Xenopus tropicalis: one gene and its partner. The protein of the gene in region 2 interacts with the protein of the main gene of each other region in a pairwise test. Links are inferred from orthologs where the notes say so. Each region holds a gene or a part of one and is shown on either strand. Other genes may lie near its edges.

What was found. The genes of interacting proteins can lie anywhere in the genome.
Region 1: the proteins of vps33b (region 2) and vipas39 interact in binary tests that used the Homo sapiens proteins (3 or more experiments, as listed by UniProt). The link is inferred for Xenopus tropicalis from reciprocal best matches to the Homo sapiens genes VPS33B and VIPAS39.

The regions. Positions count from the first base shown.
Region 1 is NC_030684.2:82,867,647-82,873,942, reverse strand, and holds the start of vipas39 (spermatogenesis-defective protein 39 homolog), read right to left. Parts: upstream 3,553-6,296; 5' UTR 3,515-3,552; intron 3,487-3,514; exon of another isoform or gene 3,443-3,486; intron 3,408-3,442; exon of another isoform or gene 3,305-3,407; intron 3,139-3,304; exon of another isoform or gene 2,873-3,138; intron 596-2,872; coding exon 500-595; intron 1-499. Other genes in the region: ahsa1 (activator of 90 kDa heat shock protein ATPase homolog 1), read left to right, coding at 4,158-4,237, 5,807-5,997.
Region 2 is NC_030679.2:108,178,867-108,185,155, reverse strand, and holds the start of vps33b (vacuolar protein sorting-associated protein 33B), read left to right. Parts: upstream 1-2,629; 5' UTR 2,630-2,716; intron 2,717-3,504; 5' UTR 3,505-3,528; coding exon 3,529-3,621; intron 3,622-4,095; coding exon 4,096-4,176; intron 4,177-4,399; coding exon 4,400-4,461; intron 4,462-5,030; coding exon 5,031-5,080; intron 5,081-5,251; coding exon 5,252-5,319; intron 5,320-6,289. UniProt on the Homo sapiens protein: May play a role in vesicle-mediated protein trafficking to lysosomal compartments and in membrane docking/fusion reactions of late endosomes/lysosomes.

The DNA.
Region 1 (6,296 bases), on a different chromosome or scaffold from region 2:
GTCTGGCATCAGCCTTAAAAGAAATGTAACACTAAATTTTTTAAGTAAAAAAGCTATTCTACCCTGCACCAATAACTGCCCTATCCTGCAAACCACTTAGTATTTTACATGCTTTAATAGAAAATACCTGCTTAAACTTGGCTTCCTGTCAATTGAACTACGGCGATACGGTAAAGGAAGGAGCAGCATCCACTATGCGACGATCGATTGTTCGAGCCTAGCCTTCTTTCTGTATAGGAAGGATTCAGGCTAGGCTCGATCAATCGATCGTCGCATAGTGGATGCAGTTCCTTCCTTCACCGTATCGCCGTAGTTCAATTGACAGGAAGCAAAGTTTTAGCAGGTATTTTCTATTAAAGCATTTAAAATACTAAGTGGTTTGCAGGATAGGGCAATTATTGGTGCAGGGTAGAATAGCTTTTTCTTAAGAAATTTTAGTGTTACTTTCCTTTAATAGGCATGGGATGGTATTTAAAATATTTAGGAATGGACAGTTTACCTGAGAAAGTTCATCATCATCATCATCATCAAAAGCGAAAGCTTTGAACTTGGAGCTATGCCAGTAATCTTCCTCATCTCCTTTAGTTCTGGACATCTACAAAGGAAAATATGATCACAATCAAAATTAGGACAAAGCAAAGCAGAAGAAAACAATTTATAGAAAGAAGGGACTGTGCTTCCCCTGCAGGACAAATACAGACACTACAGTAAAAGCTACTTTTTATACCTGTTAAAGGACAAGGAAAGTCAAAATCTATTAAGCACACTATTAAATAGTACTACTATTGCTATGTAAAAACGCTATATTTCTGGCTTGCCTAATGAAAGATTTACAGAGATACACCTGCTACATTCTACATACTTGCTTCAGTGAACGGAGCCGCCCTCTTTAACAAGTGATGCCCACTCCCTTTCCCTCACTGTCTCTACTGCGCATGCGCCCCCAACATCCTCCCTGCGGCCCCCCGCTTCCTTCTGGAAGGATGCAGCTGCATCCTTATTATCCACTCATGTGAATTCAAATCGTCAGCACCCCCAACTCGTGTCACACACCACCCGTTCCGGTCCTTTTGTCAGCACCCCCCCCACTCCGCTCCTTTTGTCAGCACCCCCCCCCCGCTCCGCTCCTTTTGTCGGCAAAACCCCCCCCCCGCTGTGTTCTCTAGTCGGCATCCAGTGCTCCCCGCTTGCCTCTCCCCCCACCAGCACCTCTTGTCCTCTTGTAATCATCCCACGCTCCCTGCTTGCCTCTCTCCCCACCAGCACCTGCCTGCCAGCTGTCTTGTCTTGTTCTTCCACTGCTTAGACTGTTTATAAGGGCGGCGGTCGCCATGGCGCTGGGGGGAGCGCTCCTGCTGGTGCGCATGCGCCGCCTACAGTCCTGATCCCATGGTCAGTGCAGGAGTGAGGCATTATGGGAATCTTCTCTACCCAGCTCAGGGTGTTTTCTTCCTGTTTGGCTTCAGATCTTCTGAACGGGAGAAATATGGGGAGACTTAAAGGAACAGTAACACCAAAAAAATAAAGTGTATACAAGTAATAACAAAATAATGTACTGTTGCCCTGCATTGCTACAACTGGTGTGTTTGCCTCAGAAAGACTACTATAGTTTATATAAGTAAGCTGCTGTGTAGCCATGGGGGCAGCCATTCAAAGGAGAAAAGGCACAGGTTACTTAGCAGATAACAGATAAACCCCCATTATATGGGGCTTATCTACTAGGTATCTGCTATGTAACCTGTGCCTTTTCTCCTTTTTTTCCAGCTTGAATGGCTGCCCCCATGGCTACACAGCAGCTTATTTATATAGTAGCTTTACTGTAGCAAAAACACCAGTTTTTTGCAGAGCAACAGCACATTATATTTTAATTACTTTAAAACACTTTAATTTTTTGATGTTACTGTTCCTTTAAGGGCACTATTGAGACAACAGAAGGTATGCCTGTATTTTGAGATTAACTCTTTACTAGCCTTTCCTTCTTCTTTAAATCAGTCATTTTTCTGTGTCTGTGACAATTTCTTTGAAGGGATGGGAGTGGCCTATTTTGAACCTAACACACTGAGAACTTCCTATATGCTTAAATCATAACGTCTAGGTTTTGCCTTTACTTTTTTTCCCACTGGATCAATTCATCGGTTGCTTGTGCAACCAGTTGCATAAATTGAAAAGTCAACGGCATAGCCAAACAGACTCAGCATATTATAAATCTAACTTACTGTTACTGTTAGAATTGCAGCACTCTGACACAGGAGTCACAGCCAATAGGAGTTAAATCTGCTGCTAGTACAATGCATGACATCATTAGAGGAAGTAAAAAAGCAACTGTGGTGTTTATAGGGGTCACTGACCCCCTCCCCTCCAACACAGGGTCTGTGCAGAAGTGAAGGATCAGCAGAGGGATGATTCTGAGGTGAATCTCTCTTCAGCTGCACATTTTTTGAACAACATTTTAAAACAAATGTTTATCCAGTGGTTATCTTTGTTGCCTTGCAGCATTTGGGTATCTGCACGGATTTCTACACTCCAAAACATACAGGCTATTATCTATCTGTAAAACGCACTCTATAGGATGATAGGTGATAGGCAACAAATTCTCCACTGGGGCAGAATGAACAATCTCTTATGGCACTGTGATATAAAGTTATATAAATAAAAGATAACAGACATATAAACGTTGCCTCTTCATTTAATCCAGCAATTGTTGACATTCTATACGATTATAAGGCAATGGCAATTAAGAAGCTGTGCACGGAAGAAGCAGTGGAAAATACTAGGATACGTGTAAACGGGACGCAGGCCAACTATAACCTGGTCCTACAGAATCGCAAGCGTCCCTCTGCCCAAAATCGCCCCTACCCATCTACAGCCTTACCTCTTCAGCCGACACAACCCGTCTCTGCCGGGAGAATGCTGGGATATGTATTTTTTACTCGAGACAACCAATCTATCTCCAGAGAAGACTGACTAGATGTTAAACTACAATTCCCATCAGCGCTAGCGCCTTGCACTTCCGGCTTAATTTGGGCTCTGGGCAATTTGCTTGGCAGAGTAATTCACGGATTCTGGATTTACGAGTATTTTCCCAGCCAATGATTAGGTACAGTCAGTACCGGCACATATTTTGGAATGAACAGTTTTCTAGAAAAAAAAAAAACCACAGCATATCATTCATTTGCTGGCAAAGCAGGCGGTGATTGCATCGGTGCTGCAAAATCTCACAAATACTTAATTCACCAAACTCAATTGCAATATGTTGTCTTTTTTTATAGTGTAGGACAAATGGGGCGCCGACATCCCTGCATACCGAACGGGCCTTAAAACGGCTTTCTTTTATTACGATAAACTCCCAGTTGCAGCAGAACTACAACCCTTCACGACAGCCATTACAATTGCCCCAACTTTCAGTATCCCCTAAGGTTCTTTGGTTGCCCATCACGCTTGCCTCAATTTTAAACAGCGCTTAAAGCCCTTTTGACAGGAGGAGTGATTCTAGTCACTGTAACGCAAGGGTCACCTGATTCAACGCCAAGTGCTGTCACAGACTAATTCGTGCTGCCCATTTAGAATGCAGACCGATACAATGCAGTATACAGGCTAAATCATGCCTCACTCAAAATGGCGCGGATAGAGGGGCCAGACAGCCATTATCATCGTGGGCAGAACTTGATATCTACTGAGACACTTTCAGAAACGATCTATAGCCATCAACGTGTATTTGTAATACGTGTTGTGCGAGTAGGCGTTCCCTCAGTAAAGATGGCTAACTAGCATAACCTGCACTTTGCAAGAGCGGAAAAGGCGGGGACTTTTGTTTCAGACACCGGAAAAACTTTGAGCCGGCTTTCCAGGCGTTTCTAGTAATTTCTACTGAGGCTGGTACATATATGAGGAACCTGGGGAGGAGAGCAAAGTGAGCACGGCGTGGGGCGGGAGAGAATGTATCGCAGCTCCTAAGAGGTTCTGGTCTGGGGATAGCTGGATCTGAAGTGTAAACCATAGAGAGAGGCTAGTGGCAGGGAAAGGAGCAAAGCACAATATAGCAGAGCGGTGACAGGCAGTGGTGCAGACGGCAAAGACACGCTGATTGAGGCCTTTCTCGCAGCGGCGCTGAAGGTACCAGAATAGTTTCTTGCATTTAGATCTTCACTTGTTTAGCCATGGCGAAGTGGGGAGAGGGGGATCCGCGGTGGATCGTTGAGATGAGAGCAGATGCCACCAACGTTAACAATTGGCACTGGTAAGTTCATCTTTGTTTAATGATGCCTCCTAAAAAATGACAGAATTATTCAAGCGTGGTTAGGAATCCTAAAGTGCATATGTTACCAAGAAGCACGTCCAACTTGTAGACTGGGATATATATATATATATATATATATATATAATTTTTTATATTTTAATCAACATATCAGCAGCAAGAGAGTGTTTGGAAATGGAGATGCAACCTTATAAAATGTTGCTGGTAAAATATGTTATGTCTATTTTAATGATATTTTTTAATTAATACTGACTCAATTTGGCTTTTTTTATGGAGGTAAGATCATGTTGCCAAGTGTTAGTCTTTTTAGATTTATAAGAAGCTTTGCCTCCACCCAGTTGTTATCTTGGTACATGAGTTATGTTCATTGTTGCTGTGTGTCTGAGATATTCCATATCTCCTTAGTTTAAATCAGTTACATGCAGGCATGTAAGAGAGATCACTTGCAAAGGCTTAAATCTTAGTTATGGTCGGTGCAGTTTTGCCAGTGCCAGCATAGAAATGATTTGACTGAAATTCACTGAAAAGCTTTAACCTGCAAGTTTTCAGAATTTCTAGTAGATAGTTAAATCCAAGTTTTTAAGATCAAATTTTTTTTTTGTTTCTCTGCTTTTTGCTTTGCTTTGTTTTTAAGACTTGGCAAAAAATGTACAGCCAAAGCTAAATACACCTATTCCAACGTTTATGGGCCTGTGCAAGTTCTTTGGCATATTCATTCTGTCAGTAACTATATCTGGCTTGCTGTTGATGCGGGCTGTGTCAAGCAGTGCAAAAAATAGATCATGAAAAGACAAATGACCTAAGTGTTGGTAATGCAGTGCTGGCAGCTGGTGCCCAAACTGGGAAGGTTGGAGATAATTATTTTCGGTACCTATAACAATTGGCTTCAAAGCATGTGTTGATCATGTGTTCTGATGCTGACAGTTTAAATTTCTGCATATCCAGAAACAACATACAGTTAATGGAGTGGTTCACCTTTTAATACATTATAGAATATCCTATTCCTAGCAACTTTGAATAGGTCTTCATTATTTTTTTATAGTTATCAAAATATTTACCTTCCTCTTCTACATCTTTCTAGCTTTCAAATGGGGGTCACTGGCACCATCAGCTAAAAATCAGTTGCTTTGTGAACTAAAATTATTATTTGTGTTACGTTTTTATTCCTTATCTTTCTATTAAGGCACTCTGCTATTCAATTTCCAGTCTCTCATTCAAGCCATTCCAGTTGCTAAGGTAAACAAGACTCTGGCATCCAAATAGCTGCTGAAATTCCAAACTGGAGAGCTGCTGACCAAAAAGCTAAATAACTGAAAAACCACAAATAATAAAAGAGAACCAATTGTAGATTGTTTCAGAATATCACTATTTACATCATACTAAAAGTTAATACAAAATTGAACGACACCTTTAATGCACATTTGGGAAAATAACTTTAAAACTCAAATAACAATTAATTGATATAGTTTAGTTGCCAAGTTTGTCTTTAAAACAATACTCCTAAATTCTCAATTAAGATGTCTGTCTTTTTTGTTTGTTTTTTTTGCCAAGGACTGAAAGAGATGCCACTAGCTGGTCCTCAGAGAAAATTAAAGAACTAATGATGGACATAAGAGTGGAAAGTGAGGAAGGGACATGTGAAATAACAGAAGTAAGCAAGCTGGAGGGGGAAGCATCTATCAACAACCGAAAGGGAAAGCTCATTTTCTTCTATGAGTGGGATATCAAGCTGAACTGGACAGGTGAGTAGCATATAGAACATTCTGAATTTTGGGGGTCTACTGATTTTTTTGTGTTTAAATGCATATCATTGTCTAAATAATGTGGCGTCTAGAGATCCCAGAATCTGAATAGTACATTAAACTGTTATGAATGATGCTTTGCCCCTGCAAAAAAAAAAATGAGATCTGAAAACCTTTTCAAAAATGATTCCCCACAGATACTTTAGATATTAAAAAAACCTAGATAATTTAGAGTGAGTAAATATTGCTTTCTTGGCAGGACATTCAAATAGCAATATTTTGCAGCGGATTATACAAAT
Region 2 (6,289 bases):
GTTAGTAAGTTTTTGGTAGTTGCCATGGAGATTTTGGGGAGAAATCTAGGTTTGTATCTGGTTTTTTCTTGATTTCTGACCAAAGCGCTAACTTCTGCAAGGGACTGCGGCCACAATTTTCCATGTAGAAAGAGGAGAGTGGCGTCTCTGAATAGCTGAAGGTGTGCACTTTTCAGAAATATATAGTTTGCGGGGGTTATTTCACAGGTAGGGGGGGTTAACACTGAAAAACTGCAGGTAGTGCACATAGAGCGCAGCCCCCAAAATTTCAACTGAAATTGCCCTTATGCATTGCCCCTGTTTTGGGGCATTTGGTGGCCACGTCTTTATGTGCACCCATACATATGGGGTATCGTTTTATTCAGGGGAACTTGCAGATTGATGGTTAGTAAGTTTTTGGTAGTTGCCATGGAGATTTTGGGGAGAAATCTAGGTTTGTATCTAGTTTTTCCTTGATTTCTGACCAAAGCGCTGACTTCTGCAAGGGACTGCGGCCACAATTTTCCATGTAGAAAGAGAAGAGTGGTGTCTCTGAATAGCTGAAGGTGTGCACTTTTCGTAAATATATAGATTGTGGGGGTTATCTCACAGGTAGGGGGGGTTAACACTGAAAAACTGCAGGTAGTGCACATAGAGCGCAGCCCCCAAAATTTCAACTGAAATTGCCCTTATGCATTGCCCCTGTTTTGGGGCATTTGGTGGCCACGTCTTTATGTGCACCCATACATATGGGGTATCGTTTTATTCAGGGGAACTTGCAGATTGATGGTTAGTAAGTTTTTGGTAGTTGCCATGGAGATTTTGGGGAGAAATCTAGGTTTTTTATCTGGTTTTTCCTTGATTTCTGACCAAAGCGCTGACTTCTGCAAGGGACTGCGGCCACAATTTTCCATGTAGAAAGAAAAGAGTGGTGTCTCTGAATAGCTGAAGGTGTGCACTTTTCAGAAATATATAGTTTGTGGGGGTTATTTCACAGGTAGGGGGGGTTAACACTGAAAAACTGCAGGAAGTGCACATAGAGCGCAGCCCCCACATTTTTAGCTGTAATTGCCCTTGTGCATTGCCCCTGCTTTGGAGTGTTTGGTGCCCATGTCTTTATGTGCACCCATACATATGGGGCATCATTTTATTCAGGAGAAGTTTGTCTTTCAAATATGCCTTTGTTAGAAAATTTTTATGATATTTTTTTTTGTCAAATCCACATTTGATCATGCGTCCAAGTTTACGTTTTAGAAAAAAAAAAAAAATGTCATAAAAAGTTCCAAATTTCACAATGCACTGACAAAAGGTATTTGGCTTTTGAGTGAAAACTACATTGCACCTAGAAACCTGAAGGTCTGTAGTTTCTAAAGATACCAAACATGAGGGGATATTTTAGATTTACATATAAGTTATGCTGCATTAACTGTTACAAGCGCTTTTCTGCTTTGTTCTGGTGTGATATTGTACTAAGTATTGCCTTAGTTTGGGGGTTACTTCTGGACAGGAACTGTGGGGTACCACCACATATTTGGTATCGTTGGACTTGGGAGTATCAGGGCTTTTACAAACAATAAAAAAAAGTGAGTAAAATTAACTTTTCTATGGAAAAAAACCTCAAAATATACAGAAATTTTTCATAATTTTATTTTTTTTTTACATATTTCACCCAAAATACACATCATATCTCCAGAAAAGTTATAAAATTTGGTATGTATGTCGAAGCCCAATTAGTGACGAAAAAAACGATATATAATTTCCCTAGTTTCGTGGAGGTTTTCCTACCAAAAAACATTGTTAAAGTGAATGAGTACAAAATGCTTAAAAAACGTCTGGCACTGGGGGGAACCGAAATGACGAATTCGGCTGGCACTTAAAGGGTTAAAGGAGAAGGAAAGGGTATCATCACTGGGTATTTCAAAGGGTATTTATCACAGGGTGGGGACAATTTGTTAGGCACCAACAGTGATTATAACCACCTAAACCTTGGGCTGGTGCTTCTCTTCCCTGAACATCTTCATGTCTCTAACTGGGATCCATTGCAGCTGGCCCGGGCTGTGTACATGCATTAGAAGCAGTTGTTATTCTGTTCCAGCAGGAGGGCCACTGTCCATACCCTCTCCCACATCACTGCTGCTAAAACTATTGCATGAAAGGCACCCTATAGAATGAACAAGGTGCAGTCCCAAGCAGACCTCAGTGTGAGAAATACTGAAGGGGGAATTTGGCTCTAAAGTTCATCTGCCACTCTTTACATCACACGGGGTTTACATTCAGTTGCATCAGAGGCATTTGGTCAACTGCTGTTTTCTGCTGGATGGCAGTGACACAAACACACACTATGCAATTACTAAGGGTGAAGGGAGTTGTGGCTACCTGACAGCAGGAGGGCACAGTATCTAAATGGCTACTGCTTTAATGAAAAGGGCATGCGCCTTACGAGGGTGTTTAAGTGCTGGAAATAAGAAATAATAGGTGTTAATAGAACAGAATTCCGGGAAAAACTACAGCTTCTCAGCCATAAACAAACACAACAACACGACACAACCAGAGCCTAATCAGGCTGGGAACAGTAAGACATGGGGCGGGACCTAGGCTGCCATTGCACAGAGTTGCTTGTCACTCACAGATATGACTACTTCCTGTGTGAGAATGCAAGGCTGTATCCAGCCCTCGTTTTCAGCTCAGACACGGAGGAGAGATGATATCTCTGTAGCTCTAAGTACATTTTTAAGAGGTAATATGTGATCTAATCCCTTTTCCATTTCTGGGGCTTTATATAAAGGAAGGAAGCACATCATACAAGAAGCTGGGGATGACATCAAATCTCTGTGCAGCCCTCTTTGACTAGTGTTGCTGACATATTCCTGTCAATTCTAGGAATGTGTCAGAGTCACTGTAAAAATAAATATTAATCTATGAATAAATCAAGTTAAAATAGCATTTAACCCCTTACACTTCAGTTGATTAGGGTGGCTGGTGTCTCATATAGCACTGACAGTTCATGCACACTACAGCCTTAAAAATGCTGAGGGGCTTAGGAAGAACCAGCTTTCCCCCTGATTTCACTACTGCATTTAGGTCGCCAGTGCACAGAAGCCTGTGGGAGGCATCCCTAATTATTTGTAGTGATATGATATGTCAATTTCCATTATGCAATTTAATTATTTGTAGTGATATGATATGTCAATTTCCATTATGCATTCTAATTATTTGTAGTGATATGATATGTCAATTTCCATTATGCAATCAGAATCAGGTGTTTGGATCAGTGCTGCAATATACTATAATCAACCCACATGGTTCAACATAGTGTAAACAGTCCCACTGGATTCTCCCAGAAAATAGCCCATATAGAAGAAACTTATTAACTGTATCCTAGGCTGCTTTTATGTGTGACAGTAGTACAAAATGTATTTTTTGTTATGTGTCTGTAGGACGTATTAAAGAGTCTGCCTCTTAGATGAAATGAAAATGAGCCCTTTTGTTTTTAATGTTCTACTAATGTTTAATTTTTTTTTGCAGGTTTATCAACTGCAAGGTTTTGAAATGGCTTCAGAAAGAATAGATTCCCCTGAGCTTCCTGATTTTACAATATTAAAAAGACTGGCTCGAGATCAGCTAATCTATATTTTGGAGCAGGTCAGTGTGAGGCGTGCAGTAACCCTGTAGTTTGTGCCTGCTACTCTGTGTTAAAAAAAAAAAAAAATCATTATATATGAGGATATTAGTCACCCACAATAAATCTCCTCTACCATGGTCGACTTATCTTCAAAAAAATGTCTTCCAACTGGCAATAATGTAAATCACCAGTGGAAAAACATATGCATCACTTTAGCTTCAGAAGTTGCCACACGAGGCGACATGGGAAAGCAAAGCGACGCACGTGTTTCCCATCAGTGGGAAGGCACTCCAAGGAGTGTTAATGAATTAATTTATTACAATTTAATTTAATGAATTCATTTATTACAATTTTGAAAGCTATATTTTTAATTGTTGCCCTTTATAGCTAACATTTATAAAGCCAACTTCTCTGAATCTAGTTTTTTTTAAGTCTTTCTGAAATTTCTTAATTACAGTATGTTGTAATAATGTTCTATATTTTGTTGCTTCCAGCTACCTGGAAAAAAAGACTTGTTTATTGAACCAGATTTGATGAGCCCATTAGATCGCATTGCCAATGTCTCAATATTAAAGGTATAACCCATTTTCTGTGTTATGTGTGTCTTTAATGACTGGCAATTTAATTCTTTATAACAGGTATAGCATATGTACAGTAGTTTTGTGTATAGCCAAATGCTCCAGTGGATACAAGCTAATTTAAGGATTATTATTATCATTTACAATTATATCTTTTAATTCAAAGATACTTACAGTTTGTTGTGTCATTGTAAAGTTATGTTCCTTAATCTTAATTTAGCAACATGAGGTGGACAAACTGTATAAACTGGAGGACAAGCCCATTTATAGCAACTGTGACCAGTAAGTCTTCTAGATTACTACAAAAAAATTGTTGAATTTCAGGAATGGAAGTGCAGTACTGCAGCATTTTTTACCACATTAATGGTTATAGCTAAGTATATTCTAGTAAAAATACATTTTTAGTTTAGCAACTGTGTCTATTAACTTTCTATACAGTGATGCTTGAAAATGTGTGATTTGGGGGACCACAAAACTTTCCCATTCCTGGCCAATTCCTGGCCATTCCTGGCCAATAAAAAATGTTCTTTTGGAGCAGAGGAACATTGCATGGAAGTGGTAAAACATTTAAGGGGCTCTGCAAAAAAAAAAAAGAAACTAGCTCAAGTTCATTCAGGAAAGACGAGCACTTTCCTGGTGTCTCAGTTGTTGGTTAGAAACACTTGACACCCCTAGTGATTTTAGCTTCCATTCTCCTTTAAAACTGTCTGAATGTGACATATTTTTCATTTAGATAGTTATTTGGACAAATATTTGATGTATAGATCATTCCTAAAATTGGTTAACCAGCAATTACTAAGCAACATGACCAGAAAATACTTTATTAATGCTTGTCTTATTTACCTCCCTAGATTGTGTTTTTTGATCAGACCACGCATCAAGCATGTGAAATTTATTGCTAGTAAGTACTGAGATACCGAGGTAAAAAGGTAACGCACAAAACTGCTTTTAGAGATTCAGTACATTTTCTCTTCTCGGGCCTGTAACTGTATCGAAAAATACATTTACAGTTGCAGTATATGATATTATATATACTGCATTCATCTAAATGGTCTTAACATTTTTTATGCAGATCTTGTACGTTCAGATAAAGCTTCTGCAAGAAACCGGAAATACAAAATTATATTTAGTCCTCAAAAGGTGAGTCCAAAAATAATAGGAAACCTTCATTCTTAACTGTTCAAAAAGTCAGAAATCACTTTGGTGCATCTTTGTGACCACCAGTGTCACTCAGTGGCTGGGAAAACAGGGGTGGTAAGACAATGGTAATTTTATTAAAATGTAAGTTTAGAGCTTAATACATAAAAACTCACCCACATTCTATTAATTCCTATGGGATTTTTAGAAGCCTATTTATCAAATGGTGAGTTCTAGATTTCACCCATTGATAAATACACTTCCCATATACATGAATAGAATGTGGTTGAGTTTATCTGTATTAAGCTCTAAACTCACATTTTGATAAATCTGCCCCTTAATCTTTAGACCTGTGCCAACTGCTGTTTATACAAAGAAGCCTGCAAAGTCTGTACTTCTTGTCAAGACTCCCTCTAAGGGCCGTGGCAGACGGGGAGATTAGTCGCCCACGACAAATCTCCCTTGTCGCGGGCAACTAATCTCCCGGATATGCCATCCCACCCGCTTAAATGTAAATCGCCAGTGGGATGGCAAACGCGGCGCCGGTTTCCTCTGAAGGCAACTTCGGTGATTGCGGCGCCGCATATGCCATCCCACCGGCGATTTGTAAATCGCCGGTGGGATGGAATCTTGGGGAGATTAGTCGCCGGCGACAAGGGAGATTTGTCATGGGCGACTAATCTCCCCGTGTGTCACAGCCCTAAGACTCTTGAGCATTTGGTGCATATATATATGTGTGTGTGTATGTGTGTATATATATATATATATATAACTTCCAAGTAAATGCCGGCACTCACGTATAGATAAGTTGCTGTTGCCTGGGTGCAGGTCCAAATAATGTATATATACAGTGGTGTGAAAAACTATTTGCCCCCTTCCTGATTTCTTATTCTTTTGCATGTTTGTCACACTTAAATGTTTCTGCTCATCAAAAACCGTTAACTATTAGTCAAAGATAACATAATTGAACACA